Elephas maximus indicus: one gene and its partners. The protein of the gene in region 2 binds, or shares a complex with, the protein of the main gene of each other region. Links are inferred from orthologs where the notes say so. Each region holds a gene or a part of one and is shown on either strand. Other genes may lie near its edges.

The links.
Region 1: PRPF8 (region 2) and LSM4 share a complex: the UniProt entries of both Homo sapiens proteins name them as parts of the U4/U6-U5 tri-snRNP complex. The link is inferred for Elephas maximus indicus from reciprocal best matches to the Homo sapiens genes PRPF8 and LSM4.
Region 3: PRPF8 (region 2) and CD2BP2 share a complex: the UniProt entries of both Homo sapiens proteins name them as parts of the U5 snRNP complex. The link is inferred for Elephas maximus indicus from reciprocal best matches to the Homo sapiens genes PRPF8 and CD2BP2.
Region 4: PRPF8 (region 2) and LSM7 share a complex: the UniProt entries of both Homo sapiens proteins name them as parts of the U4/U6-U5 tri-snRNP complex. The link is inferred for Elephas maximus indicus from reciprocal best matches to the Homo sapiens genes PRPF8 and LSM7.

The regions. Positions count from the first base shown.
Region 1 is NC_064821.1:38,290,608-38,297,648, forward strand, and holds the start of LSM4 (U6 snRNA-associated Sm-like protein LSm4), read right to left. Parts: upstream 3,016-7,041; 5' UTR 2,917-3,015; coding exon 2,914-2,916; intron 1,898-2,913; exon of another isoform or gene 611-1,897; intron 1-610. UniProt on the Homo sapiens protein: Plays a role in pre-mRNA splicing as component of the U4/U6-U5 tri-snRNP complex that is involved in spliceosome assembly, and as component of the precatalytic spliceosome (spliceosome B complex).
Region 2 is NC_064837.1:20,023,612-20,031,133, reverse strand, and holds the start of PRPF8 (pre-mRNA-processing-splicing factor 8), read right to left. Parts: upstream 3,005-7,522; 5' UTR 2,932-3,004; exon of another isoform or gene 2,925-2,931; intron 2,752-2,924; 5' UTR 2,741-2,751; coding exon 2,641-2,740; intron 2,101-2,640; coding exon 1,932-2,100; intron 840-1,931; coding exon 675-839; intron 589-674; coding exon 370-588; intron 245-369; coding exon 32-244; intron 1-31. UniProt on the Homo sapiens protein: Plays a role in pre-mRNA splicing as core component of precatalytic, catalytic and postcatalytic spliceosomal complexes, both of the predominant U2-type spliceosome and the minor U12-type spliceosome.
Region 3 is NC_064830.1:89,630,572-89,637,519, forward strand, and holds CD2BP2 (CD2 antigen cytoplasmic tail-binding protein 2), read right to left. Parts: upstream 3,008-6,948; 5' UTR 2,867-3,007; intron 2,351-2,866; 5' UTR 2,320-2,350; coding exon 2,236-2,319; intron 2,016-2,235; coding exon 1,880-2,015; intron 1,729-1,879; coding exon 1,571-1,728; intron 1,465-1,570; coding exon 1,029-1,464; intron 947-1,028; coding exon 840-946; intron 773-839; coding exon 641-772; 3' UTR 519-640; downstream 1-518. Other genes in the region: TBC1D10B (TBC1 domain family member 10B), read right to left, coding at 5,534-6,253, 6,342-6,496, 6,852-6,948. UniProt on the Homo sapiens protein: Involved in pre-mRNA splicing as component of the U5 snRNP complex that is involved in spliceosome assembly.
Region 4 is NC_064821.1:3,112,618-3,119,541, forward strand, and holds the start of LSM7 (U6 snRNA-associated Sm-like protein LSm7), read right to left. Parts: upstream 3,014-6,924; 5' UTR 2,992-3,013; coding exon 2,986-2,991; intron 2,904-2,985; coding exon 2,813-2,903; intron 767-2,812; coding exon 695-766; intron 1-694. Other genes in the region: SPPL2B (signal peptide peptidase-like 2B), read left to right, coding at 3,146-3,214. UniProt on the Homo sapiens protein: Plays a role in pre-mRNA splicing as component of the U4/U6-U5 tri-snRNP complex that is involved in spliceosome assembly, and as component of the precatalytic spliceosome (spliceosome B complex).

The DNA of each region.
Region 1 (7,041 bases), on a different chromosome or scaffold from region 2:
CACAATCCCCTCACTTCACAGGGCATCTGGCACCCAGAAGAGGGACCTGCTAGGGACACAGCCAGGCCCCGGGGAAAGCTGAGGGAGGCTAATGTCTGCTGTGGCCATACAATTTGGACATCCTCCTATGGCATTCGCGGGACCCCCACACCCGTGACGGCCACCCTCAGGGCATCACGTGGCCCAGCGCAGCCAGGGAAGACAGTCCCCTCCCTACCAAGCAGGTGGAAGGAATGTCTGGGACACAAATGGGGTCAGCCGCACCCTGCTCACCACCCTCCAGTAGGCTCCCCGGTGCTTCCCAAGCCAGGCCCGCCCAGCTCCAGCTACTCAGCCTCCTGCTCCCCACTCCTGCCCAGGCCACCTGCCCTGCCCCCTCCCCTGATCTGCCCACAGTGTCGGCGCACACATTCCTAATAACCTCATTCAGGACCTGAGGTTTCCACTTCACATACCGCTGTTTGTCACCATCTAGAGACTTACGCAGTCTCTAATTAGCTTGTTTGTTTATCAACTGCCTCCCTGGCTAGACTGGAAATGCCAGGTCTCTGCTAGACTGGAGAGCTCAGAGGGCGTGGGCTTTGCTGAGCTCAGTGCCAGGCACAGGAGACGGGCAAGGTAAACATTCACTGAAAAAATAAACGACGCACATTCCTCAAGTAAGCACACAAGATGCATCGGGATATTCTTGTCCCCTCCCATAGAAGGAAAAGCAGGGACTTAGATGGGGAGACTACCACCCGTCTGTCAGTTTGTCCTACTGTGGTGGCCTGCATGTTGCTGCAAAGCCGGAAGCTATGCCACCAGCATTTCAAACACCAGCAGGGTCACCCACGGCGGACAGGTTACAGAGGAGCTTCCAGACTAAGCCAGCTAGGAAGAAAGACCTGACAATCTACTTCTGAAAATCAGGCAATGGAAACCCTACAAGTCATAACACAATACCGTCCAACTTGCTTGCTTTGGCTATGTTCTCAGGAGAGATCAATTGCGGGAGGAGGACATCATGTTTGGTGAAGTACAGAGCCAATTAGGGTGTGGGGGACCCTCGGTGAGATGGACTGATATAATTGCCACAAGGATGGACTCAAACATGCTGGTGATTGTGAGATGGATGCAGGACTAGGCAATGTTTCACTGTGTTGTACATAAGGCTGCCGTGACTTTGGGTCAACTCAACAACAGCACATGATAACTACATTTGGGAAGTGGAGGCGCCAGGATTGGGGTTGCTGACCTCCAGCCAAGGCAGCTCTCTGTGGGCAGTGGTCCTGTCTTGCCTCCTTCTGCATTCTTGTCCCCAAACTGTGCTGGAGAGAAAAGCAAGATAAACGGGCCGGGTCCTCAAGGACTTGAAACTTCGTGGGAAAGAGGAAGATGCGTGAAAGTGCTGAGTAAGACAGGAGAAGGCTGGTTCAGGGGAGACAGGGCCACCATGAGGCAGGAAAATCACAAAATTTTGAGGAAAAATCATTCCTTTCTCAGATGTCTGGGACCTGGAGTTCAAGTCTAGACCCACTGAGGAAGAGTTCCAATGGTTTCTCATCCAGGACCCTCCCTCCAGCCTGTCCCTGACCACAGGCTGAATGCATCTCAATGCATCCACTCTCTGAGCTAGGAAATGCCTGGAGGGTCAGGGCTCAAAGAGTCCATGTCTCAAAAGTGGGAACAGCATGGAGTCCACGCTTTGCAAAGGCCCGTTCTAGGCTCCAGGTCCTGGGTGGTACAAGCGGTTTGTGCTTAACTGCTAATTTAAAGGTCGGCGGTTAGAACCCACCTAGCAGTTCTCTGAAAGGCCTGGAGATCCCCTTCCATAATATTACAGCCAAGAAACCTTATGGAGCACAGTTCTCTTCTGTAACACGTGGTGTCACCATAAGCTGGAAACAACTGCAAGGTAAGCTTTGGTTTTGACTCTAGTCTCTAGGGGGCCCATCAGGGATTGGAACAAATATCCTGCCTCACGGAACTTAATTTTTGATAGGTCTTTCTGGTTTTGCCCAAGCCCTTGTGCCATCTCTGTTTCTGTCCAGCAGAGATGCCTGTTCCCTTCTCTTGGTCTCTACACCAGCCAGCAGGATTTAGGGCGAGCTCACCACAGCCCTTAGCTCTGAGAAATGTGGAGTGACACCTCGGGTGGCTCCCAATTACAGAATTCCTGTCTCCCAGAGTGGACACTAGAAGTCACTTCTCCACCGAGGGCCTCTACTTCTCTCCCTAAAACGGGAGGGCCCTCTCCCATTGCTGAAATTCCTCTGCGTTGGGCCTCCATTTTCCTGCCTATTGGGTCCATAGCCCCCAAAAAACACGTGCACTCTCCCTGGGCCTCAATTTTTCATTCTGTGAACCAGGAGAATACATTTAGTCGACGCTGAGCTCGAATCTACCCAGAAACGACAGGCTGTATGACTCAGGAAAAGGCAATCCCTTCTCTAGGTCTATTTTCCAGCCTGAAAACGGAAGGCAAGACAAGAGATACTGCTATCATACTGGGCACGTTCCAGCCCTGAAATCCTTGGAACCTGCTTAACTGGAGAACTCACACTGGCTCCCCGCACCCCAGTTTCCACTCTATGCGGTCGGGGCTCCTTCCCTACCCGAAAACCCATTTTGCGGCATTCACGGTGCACTAGGCGGGTTCACAACCGCTCGGGCCTCAGTTTCCCCCTCAGGGAAATGCAAAGCACTGCGGTCAGGCTGCTATAGGATGACTGCACGTCCGTTTAGCCCTAAATCGCCCGAGACCGACCTGCTGGAGAACCTGGCCTCAGTTTCCCGCCACGGGCCCAGGGGCGGGGTTCGAGGCCGGGACTGCACTCTTCCCCGCACCGCCCCGAGGGCCCCTGGCGTTCGCGTCCCCCCGCCTCCCGGCGAAACCCCGCCGTCACGACCACGCTGTCGCCCTCCCCTCACCATGGTGCCGGCGGGGACCGGGCTCGCCGGCCACTTCCGCCGCCGCCGCCGCCGCCGCTCGTGCTGTTAGCAGCCCCACTGCGCGCCACTAGGCTAAAGAGGATTGGCAGATACACGAGCCAATCACCGCGGGGGTTGGGGAACGGACAACCATTCCCCGCGGAGGTGGGCGGAGCCTATTTGCGCGAGGGGCGGGGCGAAGCCGTGTTCGTGCAGGAAAAGCCGTAAAGTCCTACGACGAATGCTGCGAAAGGGCGTGAAGCAAGGCGCGCCTGTGCAAGCGGCATTTTGGGTAAGGACGCATGCGCAAGCCGACACCCTCGCCAGTCTCCTGGGCGCCACGCGGTGGGCAAACCTGGTATTGCCTTCCGTTTGCCAATGACTAAACCTCGAGGCCCCTTGGTTGTTCAGTCCGGCTCTGCGTCGCCCTTCGGGACCGCTAGTCTTGTAATTCTCACGAGCAAAGTTGATACTTATTTAGGGCACGTGTTTTAGTACGTTGGAACCCCATTCACACCTCTCCGAGCCTCAGTTACCCCACTCCAAAACTGGTATAATGATAGTACTTGCTCTAGAAGGTCAGGTGAGAATGAATCGAGTTAAGCCATGAAAAAGCACTTAGAACAGTATCTGGCACATAGTAAGCACTTAAAACATGTGCATGCAACAAATATTTATTAAACAAAATGGACAAAACTCCCAGTCCCCCAGGGGCTTAGGAGCCAGTCAGCGAGATGATAAATAGGTACATGTTTTCTTTTCCTGGGGCTGCCATAGCAAATGGGCACAAACTTGGTGGCTTAAAAACAGAAATTTATTCTTTCGCAGTTCTGGGGCCAGAGATCTGAAATCAAGGCATTGGCTAGGTTGATTCCTTCTGGAGGTTCTCCCTCTCCTTTCTCTTACAACACTTGTCCCTGGATTTCCACCACCTGTCTGTTAGTGTGTCACATTGTGGTGGCTTGTGTGTTGCTGTGATCCTGAAAGTAAGCCACCAGTATTTCAAATACGAGCCCGGTTGCCCATGGTAGACAGATACCAGCAGCGCTTGTAGATTAAGACAGACTAGGAGGAAAGACGATCTACTTTTGAAAATCAGCCAATGAAAAACCTATGGATCACAACAGAACCTTGCCCAACTCCCTTGCCTTGGACACACTACCAGGAGGGATCAATCGCTGCAGAAGGACCTCATGTTTGATGAAGTATAAAGCCAGCAAGAGCGAGGGAGACCCTTGGTGAGTTGGATTAACACAACACCCTCAATGATGGCTTCAAACATACTGGCAATAGTAAGAATGGCACAGGACCAGGCAACATTTCATTCTGTTGTACATAGATCACCATGAGTTGGAGTCAACTTGATGGCAGGTATCGATCTATGTATCTGTGTTTGATTTAGGGCCCACCCTAAATCCAGGATAATCTCGATATTTTTCATTTAATGACATCTCCAAAGACCTTATTTCTAAACAAGATCCCATTCACGGGTGCTCAGGGTTAGGACTTGGACATATCTTTTTTTAATAATATTTGTTGTGCCTTAAGTGAAAGTTTACAAATCAAGTCAGTCTCTCACACAAAAACCCATATACACCTTGCTACACACTCCCAATTACTCTCCCCCTAATGAGACAGCCCGCTCTCTCCTTCCACTCTCTTTCTTCGTGTCTATTTTGCCAGCTTCTAACCCACCCCCCCGCCTCATCTCCCCTCCAGGCAGGAGATCCCAACATAGTCTCAAGTGTCCACCTGATCCGAGAAGCTCACTCCTCACCAGCATCCCTCTCCAACCCATTCTCCAGTCCAATCCATGTCCGAAGAGTTGGCTTCGGGAATGGTTCCTGCCCTGGGCCAACAGAAGGTTTGGGGGCCATGACCACCGGGGTCCTTCTAGTCTCAATCAGACCATTAAGTATGGTCTTTTTACGAGAATTTGAGGTCTGCATCCCACTGCTCTCCTGCCCCCTCAGGAGTTCTCTGTTGTGTTCCCTGTCAGGGCAGTCATCAGTTGTAGCTGGGCACCATCTAGTTCTTCTGGTCTCAATATGATGTAGTCTCTGGTTCATATGGCCCTTGCTGTCTCTTGGGCTCGTAATCACCTTATGGACATATCTTTTTGGTGGCACAAAAGAGAGAAACCCTCAATGAGATGGATTGACACAGTGGCTGCCATAATGGGCTCAAACATAACAATTATGAGGATAGTGCAGGAGCTGGCAACGTTTCTTACTGTTGTACATAAGGTCACTATGAGTCTATGAGTCGGTATTGGCTCGATCGCACCCAACAACAACCCCATCCACAAGACCCTGTTGTATTGTTGCTGGGTGCCATCGAGTCAATTCCAACCCATAGCAAGTCCATGTGATAGAGTAGAACTGCCCCATAGGGTTTTCTTGAGTGTAATTTTTAATCTTTACAGAAGCAGATTGTCAGGCCTTTCTCCTGCAGAGCCGCTGCGTGGGCTTGAACCTTCAACCTTTCTGTTACCAGCTGAGTGCTTATCTGTTGTGCCATTGGGACTCCTTAAAACTTGCTGTGGAGTCAACAGAGACCCTCTGATGATAAGGTCCCTAGGTGGCACACACTGAGCTCAGCTGGAACCCAAAGGTTGGTGGTTTAAACCCACCCAGCAGCACCCAAAGCAAGGCTTGGCATTCTGCTTCCATAAAGATTACAGCCAAGATTACTTCTACTCTGTAACACACAGGGTTGCTGTAAATTAGAATTGACTAAGAGGCAAAAGACAACAATAACAGCTCCACTCGCTTTAGCAGGTGTTAGCTATAATGACTCCTGTAAACGTAGATGTCTATTTGAATAGTTAATTTCTGCTCCCAGGTGATCTCCTGTGTAGTTTCATACGCTTGTGAGCGTGACTGCAGCCTCAGTCCCAGGAGAGTCCCGGCTGGGTGGCCATGCAGGGCTCTAGCCTCTGGCCACATGCCGTCAGGTTTGCAAACGGAGCAATAGGTACCCCCCTTCAAGGCCCACACCTCTCCTGGCCAGCTGAGCCTCAGGAACAGCCTGTGAGCTTTTTCTCATCCAGCCCTGGGCCAGGGATTCTGGCTGAAAGGACTGCTTGACTCTGCACAGGAAGCCCTTAGAGCTCGGCTTCTCAATAAAAGATTCCCCTGTGCCAGGCCGCAGAGACTTGGGCAGAGGGGACTGGAACTTGCAGATCTAGATGCCTCCCACCAGAAAGGCTTAGGCAGGAGGCACTAAACCTCTTCCTCTGGGGCCTGGCTGAGGGGAGAAGGGCCTGAGCACCCGGCAGAAGGAGCAAGTGGTCTCCTTCCCTTCTCCTTGAAAAGAGAAATAATTACCTGTACCAACCAGGAGCCTTGGTGGCCCAATGATTAAATGCTCAGACGCTAAGCAAAAAGTTGGTGGTTTGAACTCACCCAGTGCCTCCGCTGGAGAAAAGACCTGGCAGTCTGCTTCTGTAAAGTTTACAGCCTAGGGAACACTAGGGGCAATCTACTGTATCCTATAGGGTAGCTATTAGTCGGAAGCGACTCGATGGCACACAACAATAATGGTTAATGCCACCACCTGTCTCAGTTTGTCATACTGTGGTGGCTTTGGTATTGCTATGATACTTCACCAATGGGCTCAAACATAGCAACAATGGTGAGGAAGGCGGCGGACCAGGCAATGTTTTGTTCCGTTGAGTCAGGGCTGACTCGATGGCACCTACCAGCAACAACGATTCTGAAAGCCATGCCACTGGTATTTCAAATACTAGCAGGGTCACCCATGGTGAACAGGTTTCAGCAGAGCTTCCAGATTAAGACAGACTAAGAAGAAAGACCTGGAGATTGATTTCTAAAAATCAGCCAATGAAAACCCTATGGATCACAACAGAATATTGTCCAACATGGTGCTGGAAGATGAGCCCTCCAGGTTGAAAGGCACTCAAAATACACAAAGGCCTCAACAATGGACTTGGGCATACAAACGATTGTGAAGATGGTGCAGGACCGGGCAACGTTTCCTTCTGTTGTATATGGGGTCATCATGAGTCAGAGCCAACTTGATAACAGCTAACAATAATAATGATTAATGACGCTGAGCATCTTTTCATGTGCTTCTTGGTTTTGTGTGTCTTCTTTGGAGGAATGT
Region 2 (7,522 bases):
AGGGCTAAAATCCTCACTCTCTCCAACTTACTGCAGGTTGATGTCTCGAACAAGAGGTTCAAATTTGGGGCCTCCAGGAATGGCCATATTAAGTGCCTTGGAGGTAAAGAAGGCCTTTAGATCAAACAGATAGAAGTAGTTGTCATCTACCAAGTCTGTCAGGAGCTGATTGGCCAGGCGGTAGAGAGTGGACATCATGGGCAGTGTGAACTGCCAACGCTGGTAAGTGGAACCATTCACATACCTAGGGTTAAAAAAAGGGGACCAAGTCAGGTAAGTATACCAGCTAGCAGAGCCATACCACCTACTGCTCACCCGGGACTCCGAGGCTTCTAGAACTCTTATAGAGTAACTCCAACCATCACTCACTTCCTGCTATCCCTTAATGGCTGGTGGTCGTAGAACCAGTCCAACACAGGGGCATCCTCCTCTGGGTCCAGCTCTAGCTGAATGGCCTCAAGTGGCTCAACATCTAGAATATTGTCAGCATAGTCCAAGGGTGGCTCCTCATCATCAAAAGGGGGGAAACGCATCCTCTTAAAATGCCTCCTGTCTCTCTTTTCTCGACGCATCATAATCCACATCGACCTGGAAGTCAAGAACATTACACAACTTCTACTCACTGCCCCTTCAGCCAACACCACCACCACACACCATATTCCAGCCCTTCTCACCCCCACTGGGAGATGTAGACAGGCTCAATAACCCAGGGAATCTCATTGACGAAGGAAATAGCTCCAGTGATGTGGTACAGCACAGGCACATCCCGAATCTGCTCCCAAGGCATGGGCATGTTCTCCAGAAGCTTGAGGACTGCATGGGGCATGTACTTTAGGGCACTGTGGCATTAGGAAAAGAAAAATTAACAAGCATGACAAGGTGTTCCGCCACTCAGCAGAGAACCCACATGGTATCACAGTACCACATTCCACAGAAAACACTGCCTTACAGTCCAAACTCCCAAACTTAGCACACCTAAGCCCTCCAGGATCAGAAACATGTCTTACCCTCTCCAACCTCACATTACACCACCTTCCCCCTTAAACTTTACGGTCCTGCAATATTGGATAGTAGTCCCTTTAAAGCAACAAAACAACACCCTCTTTGTTGTCCAGCTTTTCACATTTTATTATTTCTGTACCTTCCCACAAGTAACAAAAATAAAATATTCATCATACTTCATTGTAACCATTTCACGTCTGTCATGCCACTAGACTGTTAGTTCTATGAAGGCAGAGATCGTTACTGCCTTCTTGACCGTTACATCCTTAGAATCTAGCATAATTTAAAATATATATATATTTTTGCCTCAGACCAGTTCATTAGCTGGCTAACATTTTTATGTCCAAATGGGACAGGAATTTGCTAAGGCATTTGTACCTGAGAATATACAGACCTCAAACCAAAAAAACCAAACCCACTGCCGTCGGGTCAATCCCAACTCATAGTGACCCTATAGGACAGACTAGAACTGCCCTGTAGGGTTTCCAAGGAGCAGCTGGTGGATTCAAACTGCCCACCTTTTGGTTAGCAGCCCAGTTCTTAATCATTGTGCCACTAAGTATCTCAAACCTCAGAATTTTGGTCATTGAGGTTTTAAGACAGCTAAAAGTACAAAGTGTCCCACTCTGGACTTCAATCCATTCAATGACAGGAACATATGAAGAAAAGCCAAAGCACCAAAAAGACAAATTAAAGCCCCAGCCCCAGATAAAGAAGAAAAATCAGAGCAATAAAGAGCATAACTGGAAAACCTGCAAATTGTCACAGAATCCTAGTGGTTTCCTTCTTTCTCTACAAACGCCAAGATGGCTGTCATTGTAGAGTCCTGTCCCCAAATGATAGAGCAGCTATCTAGCACTGCAACCTATAGGGCGGCGAGAAAGTAAAGGAGCTAAACTCCAAATGAAATAATTCCAGATGTTCCTTACCCCAAGTAGACCCTTTTGTCATGGCGAAACTTCCTGTTGGTCATGTCTCCATGGTCTCGAATAATCTTTCTAACATGTTCTGGAGGCATGTCTTCCTTCTGAGCATCCACAAACCCAAATTTCCGCTTTTCTGCGTAGCGCTTGGCCTGCAATTGCTGCCATTTTCGGGCTACAAAGGCATCTCAGTTTGAAAAACTGCACTCCCTTAGCCTAATGATCCCCATCTCCTGCCCTAGGGTAAGCACCTGTCCGGGCCTGTGAGGGGGGCGGGGCACCCAGATGTGGAGAAGGTGACTTCCCCATCTAGAAAGAACAATCTCCACCAATTCTTTTGTCAACTCATTGTGCTTTATCTTTTGTTTTTTCGTCTTTCGACTTATGTTTTACAGACTTTTAAGTTTTTTATTGTCTATCTCCCTCACTGCAATTTAATCCGTAGAGGCAACAGCTTTGTCCTCATCGCTATTATATTCCCCATTACTTAGATCAGCTCCTACAAATAACAAACGCTTAAAAATACTTCACTAGTTGAAAAATAAATAGGGCTAAAAAGGGAGTCCACATCTACCGGTAATGACCTGACAAGCGGTGGGGGGGAAACTTTCTAGGTTGCCCCAGGAAAGGCTTTCCAAACCCCCCGCGCGCACGCGCGCACACCGGCCCCTAAGTCTCGGGGCCCGCGCGCGTCATCCCGGCACACTTTCCTCACCTTTCTCCTGCAGCTTCTCCTCCGACATGTAGTCCGGCAGCGGGGCTAAAGGGCCGGGCACCGGGTTACCCGGCCCCCGGTAAGGAAATACTCCAGCCATGCCTGGAGAATCTGGGGGACGGAGGGGGTGAACAATCAACGAGCAATAGGGCCTGGGCCCAGAAGAGGCGCAACATGAACGCGTCCCGGAGACTGCTCCCCAGCCCCTGCAGCCCCGCCTTGTGCAGAGTGCACCCAACCCGGCCCAACACCTCCCGCCGCTCAGTCCGGCCCTTAAAGCCTACCACGCACCCCCACAGCCCCCTCGCTCAGACGGCCGCTCTTCCCGCAGCGCAATGGCGGCAAAGCTACGTCCGCTCTGCGTTCCCAACGCCGGAAGATGCGCAAGCGGGTTTAGCAGTTAACCCAATAGGCGACCAGATTCTCAGATGGATTAGAGAACTCACCAATTAGAACTGCGCGCCGGGTTAAGGGGGCGGGTGCATATGCGGAAAGGACTTGAACTCAAGGGGTTGTGGAGGGGTAGGCACAAGCCCCGCCTCCCGTATTTTCAGAGGTTGATTTTGGGGCCTGTGGTAGACTTCGTCTAGTTGGCGCTTCGCGTTCTAGTGTGAGGAAGGAGAGACTAGAGCTTCAGAGTTTCAATTTGTCAAAATTGCACATTGTTCTGAGTCTGTTTTTCATAAATGTAGATTTGAGATGCAGGACTAGTTCCGGGTCCATCAGTCCTTTGTTCGTTCATTGGACCATCTATAGAGTCCCCACAAAGTACCAGGCATTGGGGATATACCAGGGGAAGAGCGAACCGCAAGCTCTCACAGAGCTCACAGGTTAGCGGGGAAGTCAGACTAGAACGCAGGCTGTTAACAAATGCTGTGTGATGAGAGTCCCGGAGTAGGGCTTTTCACCCTGACTGCAGAAGATACCGTGGGGAACTCCATTGTTGGGTGTCTTTACCCCCTCCCTCTCTATTCCTCTTTTCTCTCTCTGGCAATGATTTTCATTACACTATGGAGTGTAATGGGCACCCCATGGAGTACAGTGGACACCCTATAAATGCTTCTTGACTTGCCCAGATTCTGTCTTGCTGCCTGAATTGCTCTCCATCTCCTGCCATCCTCGTTTCACATTCCGTCCCTCTTGCTCCGCCCTTTGCAGCTCTGTTTCTGTAAAAACTTTGAATCTGACTCAGTCAATAGACAAGTTTGTTGGAATTCCCACCGAGCTTATTGTGGGGGATTTGAAGGTAGTGTAGCCTACACACCCTCTCGGTCTAATGGAAACTTAGAACTCAAATGTGAAATAATTAGAGAAAAATGCAAGCTAGAGAACAGGCAAGTGCTGGTCGGTATGGGTGTTCATACATTCCGAGAAGGGAGGAGAATTATTAAAGAAGTTTTTACAGAGATCATGGATGTGAATCCAGCAGGTCACTAGGGTCAGTGTCACCCAATGCAGTAACTCACAGTGTCACCCCTGCCATGGACCTCCCCCCATACCAGACCACAAGGAATCCTTAGGAATGTTTTTTGTACTAGAGATACTTGTAAATCATCATTCCCATATATCACTCCCTCTTTTCCCTTTATTACTACTTTGTTCTCAAAAAAGCTATTTGTATAGGTTCACAAATACTAATTACCACAATATTGTAGCTAAAACACCAGAAAATTTGACAAAACCAGGAACTATAAAAACACCAGCAACAAAAAACAGCAGTTCTTGTAGCATGTGCAGTCCACGTGATTCGAATCATCATTGTGATTGGGTAATAATGACAGCGCTGACCAAGGGCATGAACCCCCAGTGCTACCGAGGGCATTAAAAAAGTAAATTAGCATAGAATTTTAGCCTTGTAGGTATATTGATACATGTAAGCTGGACTTATGAAAAATGTTATTGTTATAACTAACTACAGAGATATTTTTATAAAAAATCATAAATTTTTGCTGAAACCCTGCACAAAAATTTTATAGACAGTCATTTTGGTGTCACCCCCTTTGACAGTGTCACCAGGTGCGGTCAGCACCCACCCCACCCCCCTAGGAGATGCCACTGTGTGAATGATTTGATGGGGGAAATAAAGGGGAAGGAAAAGGGAGTCTCAGGTGATTTGTACCCTTACCAGTAGACTAAGCACTTAGAAACAGGAACTAAGGTGGCATGCTCTGAGAACAGCGAGCAGACCAACCTGGCTGTGATTGGTCCAGCATCGTTATGATTTTCATCATGATCATTGCAGTGACGTCCTTCACACCCGTACAAGGTTCACTATGTGCCAGGCATTGTTCTAAGCAGGGGTGAAATCTAATATGGTTTGTAATTTCACCAGTAGTATTGTACCAATATCAATTTCCTGTAGTTGCTCTTTTCTTGTTTTGATTGTCCCTGCTATGGTTATGTAAGAAGTTATCAAGCTGGGTGAAGCGTATGCAGGAATTCTCTCTATTATTTTTTAACAAAATTATTGGGATGCGGTTTACATACCATAAAGCTCACCCAATTTAAGTGTACAATTCAATGATTTTTAGTATATTTACACTTATGCAATTACCGCCACTAATTCCAGAACATTCTCATCATCCCTAGAAGAACCTTTGTTCCCATTAGCACTGACTTCCATTTCCTTTCCCCTCATACCCTTCAGCCCTAGGCAACCACTAATCTACTTTCTATTTCTATAGATTTGCCTATTCATGACATTTCGTATAAATGACTGGCTTCTTTCACTTAGCATAATGCTTTTGAGGTTCATTCCATATTGTAGCCTATCAGTAGGTCATTCATTTGTATTACCAAATAATATTACATTGTATAGATATAGCACATTTATCCAGTCAGTTAATGAGGATTTAGGTTGTTTCCACTTTCTGCCCACTGTGAATAATGTTGCTGTGAATATTTATACAAGTTTTTGCTTAGACATATGTTTTCATTTCTCTTGCATATGTATCCAGGAGTGGAATTGCTGGGTCATGTGGTAACTCTATGTTTAACCTTTTGAGAAGCTGCCAGACTGTTTTTCAAAGCTGTTGCACCATTTTACATACCCACCAGCAGTTCATGAGGGTTGTGATTTCTCTGTAACCTCATCAACAATTGTTATTATCTGTGTTTATATTGTAGCCATTCTGGTTTACATGCAGTTGTATCGTATTGTGGTTTTGATTTGCATTTCCCTAATTTCTACGATGTTGAGCATCTTCTTCTGTGTTTTATTGGCCGTTTGTATATCTTCTTCCAGGAAACGTCCATTCAGATCCTTTGCCCATTTTATAATTTGGTTGTCTTTTTATTATTGAGTTCTAGGACTTATTTATATATTCTAGATACACATTTTGAAAATTTTTTTCTCCCATTCTGTGAATTGTCTTTTCACTTTCTTTTTTTGCAGCCAAGACATGGCGTGATTTGACCTCTTGGCTTCTCTATCCTTGCCTCGTGCTGACCTGTCCAACAGCAGCTTTTTAGATCCCCAGACACTCCAAAACATGAACTTTGGTCTGTTCATAAACCTTATGGCCACCCCACTCCCCTCTCCCTCTTCCAGTGTAGTAGGCAGCCTTGGAGATGGCTCTCAGTGATTCCTACCTCGTGGTTTTATCCCCTTGTATTCCCTGCCCCTTAGTATTTACTTCCCTTGGAAGTAGCTGGACTTACCGACTCAATTCTAACAGGACAATATGGCAAAAGTGGTGGGATGGCACTTCTGAGATTTGGTTATTAAATGTCTTTTCACTTTCTCGATGGTACCCTTTGAAGCACAGAAGTTTCTAGTTTGAATAAGGCCCAGCTTGTCAATCTTCTGTTTTATCACTTGTGGTTTTGGCCTCATATCTTAGAAATAATTGTGTTACACAAATCAGGAACATATGCTCATGTTGTCTTCTAAGAGTTTTACAGTTTTAGTTCTTAAATATAGTTCTATAATTCACTTCAAGTTAATTGTTGTATATAGTGTGAGGTAGTGGTCCAAATTCATTCTTTTGCATGTGGATATTCAGTTGTCCTATTACTATTTGCTGAAAAGACTGTTCTTCCCCCCATTGAATTGCCTTGGCTCCTTTGTTGAAAATCAATTGACCTTTTGTTTCTGGACTATTCTATTAATCTTTCTGCCTATCTTTAGGCTCTCCATGCTATTTTTGCAACTTCTATGTGAGCTAAAATTATTTCAGAGTAAAAAGTTAATAAATAAATAAGCTTATTAAATCCTCAATCTTACATGGTAAGCACTATTACTATCCCTATTTTACTGATGAGAAACCCAAGCTCAAAAAGTGAATAACATGCCTAATTACATGAACTGTGTGCCAGGTTCTCTCTAACAACTTTACATGAATTAGTTCATTTTATGGTTACAATAATCCAATGAGATTGGTCTTACTATTACCTCATGCGGTGCAATGAATCGCTTTTATATGGTCTTCTGGCCATGGACTTGTAAATCCCATTAAAATGATTGGCTGGGACTATGCAAATAAGGTGTATGGAACCCTTGCGGATATTGGACAGCCTGCTAATGCAAATAAAGTGCATGGAAACCTTGAGGGAATTGGTCAGTTTTGTCATCCTAAAAACAAAAAGGCTTGAAAAGAGCCAATCCCAAAGGTTGAGGGGAGGCCTCACTACCATCAAGAAGAGCCAGGAGCAGAGTCCATCCTTTGTCCTAAGCATACCTGTGCTGAAAACCTCCTAGACCCAGGAGACAGAGCTGTAACACTGGAGATGGCAGTGGCATGAGATGGCAGTGGCATGAGATGGCAGCAGCACAGGACCGGCAGACTGCTGCAGTTGGCTGGCTGATGCATAGAGTGAGAGAGTTGAGCACCTTCAGGCAGGAGGCTTCCTGGCAGAGTGGGGTGCCTCCGGGCATTTATCA
Region 3 (6,948 bases), on a different chromosome or scaffold from region 2:
CTAAAGGTTAACAAGTAGCCCTGGTGGAACAGTGGTTAAAGCGCTCGGCTGCTAAAAGAAAGGTCTGCAGTTCAAACCCACCAGCCACTTTGCAGGAGAAAAGATATGGCAGTCTGCTTCTGTGAAGATTTACAGCCTGGGAAACCGTATTAGGCAGTTCTATTCTGTTCTAGTGGGTCACTATGAGTTGGAATCAACTGGATGGCCGTGGGTTTGGGTTGGTTTGGTTCTTAGGCTAACAACCTAAGAACACTGAACGGGAAGCCCAAAGGAGACTGGAAAATAGTGTAACTGATGGATTTTCAGATGGCAAGCAGAGTCCAAGTGGAGAGGCCGCAGGATGTTGACAGGCCCAGGCCCTAGTCCCTGAGAACAAAGGTGAGGTGGTTCAAGAGACCAGAGAGAAACTCCCAAGGAGCAACTTTATGGGAAGAAACACCCAAAGGAGCAAGGCAAGTGCAAAGGGATTGTGGAGAAGGCCCCCGGCTTCTGGTCCCAGCATAGCCAAGGCCCCAATACACAACTAAAGGCTTTTATTCGGAAAGAAGCAGCCCCCAGTGTCCTCACTTCCTGAGACAGCTGGAGCCTCCCCCACAGAGTCCAAGAAAGAAGGGGCCACTAAACTCGGCCCTCAGTGGGCTCAGGTGTAGAGGTCAAAGTCAATCCGTTTGGAGTTGTAGAACTGACCACCAGGGGGGTCCAGCTTCCGGCAATACACACCATCAGGGAAGTAGCCTTCATTCACCCAGGTCTGCAGGGAGAGAGGGCAGAGCTAGGGGAGGAGCTGTGGAGGTGGGGGATGGGAAGCACAAGGCAGAACTAGGTAGAAAAGGACTTACCTGCATCTGGGCACTGGTAAAGGGCCCATATAGCTCAGCATCCCGTGTGTTCTCCCATTTGTATTCCCACATCACATCCACTAGACCATCCCCTGGCGACTCTGCTTCTAAAATAAGAGGAAAAGCAATCTGGGCCTCAACCACCATGCCTTCTGCCCACAACACCCCTCTTCTGCCCTCCAAGCTTACCTCCTCTTTGGGCAGGGGTTGGGCTCTCCAGCTCCTCCTCTGCTACTTCCTCAGCAAACATGTCCAGAGAGGGTGGGGGTGCAGGGTCATGGGATCCCTGGGTCCGGCACCCCAGCCCCTTCAGCCGCATGGCCAACCGTTCCCGAGTCTCCTGGTACACACCAAGGTTGCCCCGGGCCACCATTTGGTCGGCCAACCCTGAGAGCCGGTCTAGGCGCTGTGGGGAGCTGGGCCGCCCAGGCCCTTTGCTGTCCCCTTTGCCTCCGCCTCGGGCCCCCAGACGCCTCAATGCCCCAGCAACTGTCTCCCTCGGCAACAGCAGCTCCAGAAGGCCCTCCAGAAGGGCTTGGGCACTCATCGGTGTCTGGCCCAGGCTGTTCTCCTCCTCTGAGTCTGACGTCTGATGCTGATCAGGTGGTTGCTCCCTAATCTTTACCTGTAAATATGAAGACAGAAAAGTTATTCCCTACAAATTGCCAGCAGGGCTCAGACTGCACATTTTCTGCCCACAGACCCCAGTCATGCCAGCCCCTGGGCCACACCCAATCAATGTTATCCAGCCAGTTGTCTCGGATCTGAGCATCCCGGTTCAAGAAGTAGTTGCCATCGGCATCAAAGCGGCCTTCCTCCATCTCTTCCTGTAGGTTGAAGGGTGTGATCCGCACACCTCCCTCGCTGGGGAGTGTGGCTGCTTCCTGACCTGCACCAAAGACACACATGCTCCATGCTAGGTGTGCAAAAAGAGGCAGTGGCCAAAAAAAAAAAAAAAAAGGCAGGAGCCTCCCTTGTCCCACAGCCCCAGAAGCCCCTCCTTGTCCCTCTGGCTGAGTCACATCTTCAGTATAACTCACCCTCCACATCTTCTGAAGCCAGGATGTCGTATTTGCTGGACCCCTCCTCATCGTCATCCTCCTCATCGCTGTCCAAAGAGTGTTTACCTTTGAAGCGGCTCCCAGGACCCCCTGCCCCAGCCACAGGATCCACCAGCTATGAGCAAGAATCAGCAAATCAAGAGATGCGGGATATTGGCTACTCCCCAAAATACTCCAGGATTTGGACCCAAACTGAAAATTCTTCAAAGTCATTCCTCAGAGAATATTCGAAAACCAACCCACTTTTTGTGTCCTCAGCTTTATTTCTCTTTCAGTTTCTAGCTTCTCTTTTCTCCCCTCACTCGTCCCAGAACACAGGAGTCTGGCCCCCTCACCTTCTTCTTGGGGACACTGATTTCACTCTCATCATCATCATCATCATCTCCCACGCCCTGGAAAGTCACTTTCCTCTTTGGCATGACGGGGCAGAGAAGGCTTCTCTAAACTGTGCTGAGAGAAAGCAGGCGAGGTAAGAGAACTGGAGGGGCGAGGAGGGGACTCAGGCGAGAGAGCCCCGCTCCCACCCCCACAACAAACATTTCACCAGGTACATCCTGTTCGGGAGGGGAGGGAGCACAGGATGAGTCCGAAAAGGGAGCTGGCAGCCAGGCAACTCCCTTGGTTCGGGATTCCAGAGGGTGCTGGAACCGGAAGAGAGGGTATCTCCCCATGGTATTCCCACCTTTAACGAAGAGGCAACCGGCTCTCCCACGTGACCACCCCCTCCCCGGCTCCCGCAGTCCTAGGCACGGCGGCACTCTGGGGGCTGACAGCTGGCCCCTCAGGGTCCCCAGAGCCCGCGGGGCCCACGCAGCCCCAGGATCTGGAGCCCTGGCCGCCCCACTCCTCCTAGCGCCCAAACTCCCAACCCCGCGGGGAGACCTCCAACTGCCGGTGCTATGTATACAAACTAGAGGGGCTGCAAAGCCAGGGGAGACTCAGGAAGTCCCACTGGCGCGCGCTCACCTGGGGCTCCAGGGGAGACGGGGGAAGAAAAAAAGAGATGCTTTCGCTAGGGATATATCCGGGGCGCCTGACCGCCATCACCCGGAAGAGAACTGCCGAAGGCGCCAGGGAAGCTGGAAGTGACTTCACTCCGGTTAGAGAACTAACTGAAAGAGCGGGCGGAAGTATGCAATGAGCGAGGGACGACCTGCCAGAAGTGACGTAAACTGGCGAAATGACAAAAAGGGATCGTATGACCGCTTAGACTCGGATCCGGCGAGGGAGGTGGTGTGGATCCCCTCAGGCAGCAGTAGAGGTTTTGGGGAGAAAGTGGAGTGCGCTCTAATTCAAGGGGCGCCCAGAGTCAGCATGGAGGGGCAGAGTCCGAGCAGGTCCAGTACATTCCTAGCCGGTTACCTTTTCAGGGTTCGATCACCCTTTTTCCACAGCTAGCTAAGGGCTCTACGCCCACCATCTGAGGAGAAATCATCCCTGCCCACTCCCAGCTGTCTGCTCCGTTCTTAGTGTCAAGAGACGGAGCCTTTTCTCTGGGGAAGCCTGCTCGACTCTTCTGATGGCCCACTTTGTGGCCCCTGACCACTCCTAGGTCTCTCAAACACCGAGCTCCCTTTAGGCCCCAAGGGAAGTCATTTGCTCCACACCTACCCCCAGAACGGCTCCTGGTTTCTCAGGTGGGAAAGCCACCAACAGGAGAGGTAGCCAAGTACCCAGGCCAGAGGCCTCTCCTGTCCCTCTCAGGTAGGCCTGCAAAAGGGTAGCAGTACCTCTCTCGAAGTGCAGCGCAGGATAAAGCCCCCACCCTTAGCAAACAAAGCCCAGGTGCTGGGAGCTTGGCCCAAGGGGGTGGGGTTGGGAGGTGGGAGGAGTGGGTCCCATTACTGTGGTAAAGAGGTCCCAAACTCTAGTGGACACTCAGGAGCTTGAATCCCACTAGGCTAGTGCTCAGAAGCCTGCTGAAGCCAGAGGACACCAGCAGGGGGCACCTAGGGCGACCATCTGGCCCCTCCTCTCTCCCGCTCCCTGGATTAAACCACCGTGAAACCTCACCTAGAGTCTGTTTTATTCTGGGGGTCAGAGCACAGGTCCCAGATCGGGATGGCTTCTTGCTAAAGAATGGGGTCCAAAACACCAGCTACCAGTGCTGCTGTTCCTCCTCCATGGAAACCTACCTGGAGCACCAGGCAGACAGCACACACCTAAGCCTCGTCCTGTTGGAGAACTGCCAGGTGGAGCCACACCTTGGAGCCGTGGAATCCAACATGGAATCCTACACCTTTAAGGTTCTGACCCCTGAGGTGGAGGGCACAGAGGGTGGCATGGACCTATCAGCTGGCTACAGAAAACCAAGAGCTGGAGGGCCTGGCATGGGCACTGGCCAGAGTGAGCTGGAGCCGGCTGGCAGCACTGCTACCCTCTCTGGAGTCCCCAGTACAGGAAAGTGTGCCAGGCGACTGGCCAGGAGCCCAGCTCACTCTCAGAGAGCTGTGGCTTTCTAGCCACCCTCACTCAGTACCCCCTCAGGCTTCTAGGAGCTGCATGAGTGCTTTAGGAAGGAGATCTGGGTGCTGCAGGAAAAGCGTAGAGGGCTCCAGACCAGTGACAATGGAGAGAGCAAATTCCAGGCAAAGCTGAGGCAGGAGCTCAACCAGTTTGTTGATGAGCGACTGAGATGGACCAAAGGCCAAGAGGCACCTGCCAAGACCAGCAGACTGCTTTGATAGAGACCCAGGTCCTGTCTGTCTTCCCTTCCTCCCTAGCCATTACCCCCACACCTCCTTCATCAAAAAACAAGGCAGAAGACAAGCCCAGGTACAACAGCAGGTTCTTTTCCGGTTCCTCAAAGCGCCACACGCACAGGGCGGGGGCAGGGACAGAAGAAAATGTAAACATAGGGTTCCACCCCTGGACCTCAAGGGAAGACTCCTCTGATAGGGGATGGAAGGAAACAAGGTGAAAGGTAGGGGCCCTCGTGAGACAAAGCAGGGGAGGCCTGAGAACACAGAGGAGGGAGAGCATGAGGGCAGGGGTGGGGAGGTGGGGGACATTTCCTGTTCCAGTGCATGTCCCCTTAAATAAACTGGGACACGAGCATTGTGGAAGGAGAACCGAAGAGCAGAAGATGGAGTGAGCATTCCCCCCCCAGGCTGGCCAGGTCCTCTGTACATAATTATAACAGAGATGTCCAGAAATAGATCAAGGAGAACCTTGGCCCCCAGCCAAGAAGTGGGGACTGGCAGGACTGGAGGAAGGAAAAGGGAACCCAGCTCCACCTCATAGGTAAGGGAAGCCACTGGAGTGTAAGAATCTGAAAACTGCAGACTCCCATCACCAAGAGTCACCCCCGTAATGACAAGAAATCAACCAGGACAGCACCGGGGAGGGGGACCCCACAGGGAGTTGGGGCAGGAGTGACAGAGACCCTGGCTGGGTCTGTCTGGAGGTAAGGGGCTCCAGATTTGCTCCTGGCTGCCTCAGGGAAATGCAGCTGCCCCATGCACTCTGTCTTGGCTGTGTAGGATCAGCAGCTGGCATGAGGAGATAGGGTATCAAGCCACCTTCCTCTGAGAAGGACGGCCTACCAAGGGGGCTGGGGGCAGCAGCCCAGGCCAGGCCTGCTCTTGGCTGAGGGGAAAAGGGGGGCCATGCAGTCCAGCCCCAGGGCAGAGGTCAGAAGTACGCATCCTGCCGGGCCTCAGATGCCAAGGACCTGTCCCCACCATCCTGAGGGGCTGGGGGCCCATCTGCCTTTCGACGCAGCGAAAGCTTCCGGCCTTGGGCCTTCTTCTCCTGCTTCTGCCGTTCCTTCTCCTGCTTCTGCCGTTCCTTCTCCAGCTTCTGCCGCTCCTTCTCCTGTTTCTGCTGCTCCTTCTCCTGCTCTTTTTCCCACTTCTGCCGCTCCTTCTCCTGCTTCTCCCGCTCTTTCTCCTGTTTCTGCCGCTCCTTCTCACTCTCCTTTTCCTGTTTCTGCCGCTCCTTCTCACTCTCCTTTTCCTGTTTCTGCCGCTCTTTCTCCTGCCTCCGGGCTTCCTTGCTGGTACCCAAGGGGGTGCTGTTGCCAGTAGGTGAGGGAAGGGATGGATGCAGTCCCTCAGCAGTGACCATAGGCCCTGGGGCAGGCCCAGCACTGGCCCTTCGGGCAGGAGGGGGTGGAGAGGGCGCCCCACCACCTAACCGGGAGCCTCGGCTCTTGAGGCCAGGGAGGCTGAGGAGGCTGGAAGAGGGGCCCAGAGGTGGCTGCTGCCGTCGCCGCTCTTCATGGATGGCCCGGGAGCCATGTAATCTCCGTGAGGGCCGATACTGCAGCTCCCCCCGGGTTTCCCGCCACTTCTTGAGCTGCGCTGCGTTTTCTCGCTCAATCAGTGCCTCTGTCACTGGGAGGTTGGTCACCTAGAAAGAGAGGAAATGGGTTGCAGAATGAAAAAGAGGTGCATGGATGGGCCAAAGCAGATGTGGAGTGTGTAGAGTCAAGTCCTACCTCGTGCACAAGGAAGTCCTCCTGCATGCACTGCTGCGGCAGGTTGCGCAGCTGCTCCATGGTCTCATACATGCCTTGGCAGGAGCGCAGCTTCTCCACAGAGCCCAGCGTGTGCCGCAGGAGCACCAGGGCCACTCGGAAGATGATCTTGACGCCTAGAGGGCCAGAAGAGAGCATGGGGGGATCAGGCCCCGGATCTCAGCCAGTCCCATTTAGTAGGGACTCACAGCCCCCATCCCTCTTACTGCTAAATCTTACAGATGAGGAAATTGAGGCCCGAGAAGGAAAATGAGTTGCCACGGGTTTCTGCTTCCTGGGAGGAAGAGCAGCCCTGGGTTGGTGGCACAGCCAAAGATCAGGCCTCAGTTCCTCCAGCCTCCAGGCTGCTTACATTGAAGCCTAGGCCCAACAACTACCTTCTGTCATGGGGCCATGAGAAATGTGACAGGGCCCTCTGGCAGTCACCACAGAAGCCCCAGCCCCTCAGGGCCTGCATGGCCACAGATGTACCTTCACAGAAGAACATGTCCCAGACACGCAGCACTGAGGCCCAGGGCAGGGTGCGGGCAAAAATACACATGAACCATTCTGTCATGTAGAGCACAGG
Region 4 (6,924 bases), on a different chromosome or scaffold from region 2:
GAAAGAAAACGAGGGGCCACCAGGATGCTCCAGAGGGAGTGGGCGGCTCAGCCTGAAGCAGGCTCCCCACTGAGAGGACTTCTCTGCCCTGCCAGGTCGCACCTCTGTGGTGACATTATGCTGTTAAACTTTCCAGGAGAATCAGTCTTGTCTCAGCCACACTGCTGGTCTCCCGAAGGGCAAGACCCTCCTGGTGTCTTAGCAGTCCTCAGCCCAGGCCCGGTGGTCCCTGCTAGGCCCCAAAGTCCCCCTCCCAGCTCTCTATATCTCCCGCATGCTTCCTTCCCTCGTCATCCTTCTAACCATGCCTGGCACATTTTAAGTACCTAATAGGCACACCTGAAGCCCTGGTGGCGCAGTGCTTAAGAGCTCGGCTGCTATCCAAAAGGCCGGCAATTTGAATCCAGCAGCCACTCCTTGCAAACACTATAGGGCAGTTCTACTCTGTACCACAGGGTTGCTATGAGTCAGAAACGACTCGACAACAATGGGTAATAGGCACCTAAAGACCACTGCATGTGGTAACAAAACATTTCTTTTAACCTAGGACCGTGAGCTTCACAGGCTTTGCAGGAACACCAGGGCCAGTGGGGGATGGAACACCCTGTAGCTACCCAGTCGACATGGCTTGGTACCCGTAACTTAGGCATAGGTTCCACGGGTTTAAAACGAAAAGGACAAGGCCTGAACTCACCTCTCATATATTCGATGGTGCCATCAAGCACGAGGTTGAGGAGGGGGTCAAACCCTTTCAGGATTCCACTGGCTTGTAGAAACCACCAGAAGGAAAGGAGAAACGAGAAGGCGTGAGATCAATATCCATTCTTTGGATGAGTATCCTCGGTGCCCCAGGGCCAGGCAGGTTCACACTCCCACAAAGGACCACCTTTCAGGGGAAGAGGAAGCTGGGGACTAGGGGGAATGGGGAGGAGCCCTGAAAGGAGAACAGGGATAGCCAGCTCCAAGCAGAACGAGACGAGACAAGCCAACGAGCAACGGCGGAAGCCATTCAGCAGGACAGGGACCATTTGGTGTGCAAAAATAAGATACTCCCTGTCTGGCCCTTGATGGAGAAGTCTGCCCGCCCCTGGAGTGGACGGCCACCTGACTGCCCAGGTTTGGGCTTTGACTCTGTGGCTTCCCACTGTGTGACCTCCTCAGGCTCCACCTCTGCAAAACCATTGCCACCGAGTCAATTCTGACTCCCAGCAACCACGTGGGACACAGTAGAGCTGCCCCACAGAATTTTCTAGGCTGTAATCTTTACGGGAGTACATTGCCAGGTCTTTCTCCCACAGAGCGGCTGGTGGGTTCAAACTGCTAACCTTTTGGTTAGCAGCCAAGTGCTTACCCACTGCACCAGCAGGGGTCCTTCCTCCTCTTCAAAACGGGGCTCATAATGACAGCCACCTCACAGGGTTCAGATGAGCATCAAAGGCAATATTGCCAGCCAAGCACTTGGTGGGGGGCTGGGGATGCAGTGACCCTGCTCTGCCCATGGGCACCGAGCAGAACCTGGCCGAATCCTGCCCTCAGAGAACATACCATTTCACCACTAGATCCCCGCAGGGCAGAGTTAAGTGCCACGTTAGCAAACATAAAGATGCAGGTGGCGACATGTACTTGTTGTTAGCCGCCCTCGGTCGCCCATACTACCCCACACAGGAACAAAACGCTGCCCGTCCTGTGCTGTCCCCACAATCAGCTGTGGATCAGACGTTTGGATCCACAGGGTTCTCACTGGCTGATTTTCAGAAGTCAATTTCCAGGCATTTCTTTCTAATCTGTCTTAGTCTGGGAGCTCTGCTGAAACCTGTTCATCCATCACAGCAACACACGAGCCTCCACAGGTCGGTGGTGGCTACACATGAGGTGCACTGGCTGGGAAATGAACCTGAGTCGCCCACATGGAAGGCAAGAATTCTATCACCGAGCCACCGGTGTCTTCCCCACAGGTGCTACTAGGAGCTTAAAACAAAGGGGACTGACCTGAGGTGGAGGATCAGGGAAGGCTTCCCAGAACAAATGCCTTTGAACTGGGAGCAGGTTAGCCTGGCAGTTCACCTGGTGAGAGTATTCCAGGCAGGAAGCAAACGTGTGCCTTTCCAGCCCTGTGGCTACAGGTGCTGCTCAGACATACAGATTTAGATTTTATCCTGGCACAATGGGGAGCCAAGGGAGGGTTTAAGCAGGGAGCAGAGATTCAAGTTCTGTTTTTCACAGATTTCTCTGCCCACTGACTGGTGATTGACTGCCGGACTGGGGTTCTTCACCAGGAGCGATTCTACCCGAGAGGATACTTGCAATGTCTGGAGACATTTGTAGCTGTCATCATTGGGGGGGGGGAGGGGGAGGGTTCTACCGGCATCGAGTGGGTGATCGGGGTGCTGCTCAACTCTCTATAGTGCACAGGACTGCCCCACCCCAGAGAACGATCCGGCCCTCCAGGCAGCAGTGCCCAAGCTGAGGAACTCTGGTGTAGAGGGAGCAGGAACGGAAGCCCCTGGGAGGGAGCTGGAGGGACAGGACCGCACAGGAGGCAAACTCGTGAATCCCAATCCCGGCTGCGTCACTGTGACTTTGGGTTAAGTCTGTTCGCCGCTTCGTGCCTCAGTCTCCCCATCTGCAAAATGGGCACAACGGCATCTACCTCCCAGCGCTGTTAGGAGGACTGTATGAGTTAGTTCGCGTGCAGCCCTTAAAGCAGTGTCTAAGCGGAGAAAACGCTGCCTAAAAATTAAGTTGTTATCGTAGCTCTTGTTAATTATTTTAAACAGCTATAAGAGGGTGCTGGCGGCAGCGGCTGCCTCACCTTCGCGGCCTCCTTGAAACTTCACCCGGATCGTCTTATCGATGTACTTGGATAAGTCCAAGATGCTCTCCTTCTTCTTCTTTTCTTTGTCCTGCGAGGAAAGCAGAGCGCGTGAGGCGGAGAGAACGCCCCGCCAGCCCCACGCCGCCCGCCCGGTCCCGCCGTGCGCCCACCGCCATCTTGCCGCGCCGCGCCGCTCTGCGCAGGCGCCGCCGGCGCGCCCTTTGACGTCACCCACGCGCGTACAGGAGCCGCGCAGCCCCGCGCCTGCGCGCAGCGGCGCCCGGGGCGTTGCTGGGAAACATCAGCCGACGGCTGCGGGGACCGGCCGACATGGCGGTGGCGGCGGCGGCGGCGGCGCTGGCGCGGCTCTGGGCGGCCTTGTTTCTCCTCGCGGCCCAGGTGAGGGCTGCGTCGTCCCGGGAGCCCCGTACGCTGCGGCTCCCCTTTCCCCGCGCCCCTGGGGACCCTCTCGGGATCCAGCCCGGCCCGGCTGGGGGCAGCTTCGGGGACCCCGCGCCCCCCGTACTCCGGCCCCGCGGGTCCGGGGCCCGGAGTGACCTTGGGGGCTCGTCCCCAGCTCCTCTCCCTCCTCGCCGCGGAAACCCCCCCTAGCTGCAGTATCGCCCAGTTCCGGCCCGGGCTAAAGTTGTGGACCCCCGTCCTCTCCCCCCCGAGTCCTGCTTGTCCGTCTCGGGGTCTTCCCCAGCCGCCGCCCAGGACCCCGCTCTCTGGCTCTGCGGCCTTGGCCCAGTGACTGAGCCTCTCCGAGCCTCAGTTTCCTCTTATGCGAAATGAGCGCGATGCTAGCACACGCCCCGGGGGAGCGGGGAAGGCCCTGGAGGGGGTCAGCGCGGGATCCCCGTGCCTGGCAGCGTCGCGACAGGGCTCAGAGCCCAGCCCCGGACTGGGGGGAATCCTGCGCCCCATCTTTTACTCTGTGACCTTGGGCAAGGGAGTTCCTCGCTTTGAGCACCAATTACCTGTCTGCACAAGGGGGGGCAAGAGCAGTGTGGACCAGCAGAGGGCTGAATATGTTACTTATTTGTCGTTTCATGTTAAGGATCTCAGTTTCTTGTGGGGCACCGATAACAAGATAGCTGATGCTTGCTGTCTGTCATACCCAGAAAACCAACCATAAGTGCACCTTTTTTCCAAACCTCCCGTCTGTCCTGGCTTACGCAGCAGCTCTGGGAATGGTGCGCGATCAGCGAGACCTCGCTGCTGCTCTTTAACGTTGAGGACTCCTGCCTGACAGCTCTAACTCCTCACACGTCTTAGGAGCCTGTCCACCACCACCTCTGCTGGGGCTCCCCTCCCCTCTCCCTGTGGTCACTCAGGTCCCTCCCCCCGAATCCCTCCAGTCCACTCTTCACACAGCAGGGGCCATCTTTTCCAGAAGCGTGTCAGACCTTGTTGCTTCCAGATGAGAGCCTTTGCGTGGCTTCTCATCTTTAGAAAGGTCTTTGTGATGTGACTGCTCACAGAGCCACTTCCTCCCTCCCTTCCTGACTCAGACAGGATGCAGATTTTATCGGTGACACTTTGCTCTCTGATCTTTTCTATTACCCTGGAACTGGCTTTCTCCACTCCTGGCCTGGTTAACCCCTAGTCATCCTTCCCGTCTCTGCTTGCCTGTTCCTCCCTCCCAGAAGCTGTCCAGGATACCCTCTCCCCAGCCCCCCCTTACTGCCCACATTGTAGCACTGAACACGTGGTACCTGCCTGGTTATTCATCTTCCTCGCTCACCAGCCTGTGACACTTTGAGGGCAGGGACATTGAGCTCTCGAGATGTTTTGCATGAGATTCAGAAAAGAAGAGGTGGATAAAGAATCATGGGAGTGCCACAGAGGGCATGACTGGTGAATTTGCCTGGGAAAGCTCTTAAGGAGCAGTGACACCTGAGAAGGGTTTTGAAGGATGAATAGGAGTTTGTTGGGTTGGGAAGGGAGAGGAAAGGTATTGTAGGCAGTGGGAGTAGCATGACCAAAGCCAGGAGGTACAAGAGCTGATGATTATTTGAGGACTGTAGTCTGTGCATAAGATGGTCTGGTGCTTGGAGAGGGAGCTTACATCCAGAGAAAGGCCCTTCCCATGGGTCTGAAGGAGGCGGCAGGGAGGGGCCAGTTGGGGGTGTGGCTTCAGGCAGACGGTCAGATTGGGCAGAGTCCACAGGGCCCACAGCGCTGGGGAGTTGGCTTTATCCTGAGCAAGGTGAGCCACAGAGAATCTCTGAGCAACTCAAAGAGAGCAGTGGGCCCTGCTCTCCCTGGACCCTGGTTAAGGCCCCTTGTGGGCACAGTCCTGGTGCTGTGGGGCGTCTTCTCAGTCGTGTAGTGGAAATGGGTATATTTGACTCCTGGCTCCCAGGAGTAAGATTAACTCTCCCGCTGGGTGGAGGCTGCTCAGTGACAGTCCTGAATTCACAGGCCACTGTCTTGTGACCCTGGACAAGAAAAGTGACCTCCCCAATACCACTCCCCACTCCCATTTACTATGAAAGGTATATGAAGTGGAATATGAAGGCTGTCCTGTCGCCTCAACCTGTGCCTCCTCCACCTTAATGTGTTTTTTCCCATGATTCTTGGGTCCTGATGATTTCACCGTCTCCAAGATTTCACTAAGTGTTCTTGGAAGGAACAGTCCTTGGCTCATGCAAAGGGTGAACATGCTCAGCCGCTCACTGAGAGGCTGGAGGTTCAAGTCCACAAAGAGGCACCTTGGAAGAAAGGCCTGGTGACCTACTTCCGAAAACTCAGCCACTGAAAACTCTGTGGGGCACAGTTCAGCCACCAGGAGCAGGGTCGACTCCCTGGGCACTGGTTTACTGGTTTTCTTGAAGGAAGACTGCTCCATAACCTGGCTCCTTGGTGTCTTTTAAACCCCTTGGATGTCGGCCACTTCCACAGAGATTCTGGAGTTTCCTATATCTGCTTGGTAACTGTCAGAAGGCAGACCCCCATCCTTGTTCCTGTCCTAGGTATCTCTGGTTCCCCAGGCACAAATGGAGCAGCCTAGAGTTCAGGGTGTTTGTAGAATGTGTGTCACTGAAGAACTGCCAGCTCCCGTAACTCAGCAGGCGAGAGGGTGGCGCCTTCTCGGTGTTTGATAAAAGCTCGCAGCCCTTTTTTTAAGGGAAAGCCAGTTTGCTTTGCAGATTTTGTGAGGGCAATCCGTGAAGCCTACTTCTGCACCCTTAAACGAGCTCTGTAAAAGGAAGTTTCTGTCAGTTCCCATATTACACGAATGGGCCCTTTCACCCACAGCCTGGATCCCGTGGAGCAGGCTTCAGTTAAGGTTCTGTGGGAACCTTCTGGTCTGCTGGCTGTGCCGCCTGTTGCCACTACTCAGCCCATTATAGTGAGAAAGCCACAGACCACAGGTACATGAGGGGCACAGCTGTGTGCCGGTACAACTTTATTTACACAAGGAGAAGGTGGGCTGGTTTGGCCTGTGGGCTGTAGACTTCGGACCCCTGCTGTGGAACGTGAGTCCTCTCAGAGCAGCCCAGGCAGAGCCTCACTGGATGCCGGGGGCTCTGACTGACCGCTGGGGCTGTGGGAAGGGTGCACTGCTGACTGAAGGGTGTCTGCGGGGGAGTTGGGGACGGGGACCCCTTATCCTGCCTTGGGGCCCAAGAGAACCTTGGTCACGTCAGCCCTTGCCTCAGCCCTTGGTGAAGCGCCTCCCGTGGCGTCAGCCCTCCCCAGTGGTGGGGCTCATCTCCCCCTTGTCCAGGCTACCCTTTGTCACCAGGGCAGGGACCAGGGGACCCCGAGGAGCAGGGCGCTCATCCCTGCCCTGTGAGAAGGGCAGGGGCCACAGGAGCACAGAGAGCAGTGCACCACAGGGACTCCAGGGCCGAAAACTTGGGGACAGCCCCAAGGGTTATGGTGTGACACGGTGACCAGCTCATGACTGCCCTCCTGAGGCCCATTGTTCCCCTGGCAGGCCCAGGGGGTCTTCCCAGACCCAGAGGTGGGACTGCCTTGGGCCCCTTGTCCTGGGCCACATATAGTGGAGCAGCCAGGACCTGGGTCTGAGACCGCAGCCACTGTCCTTGTCACGCGCTGGGGCAGGGACTTTGGGCCTTTTGGCTGAGCTGGCGCGC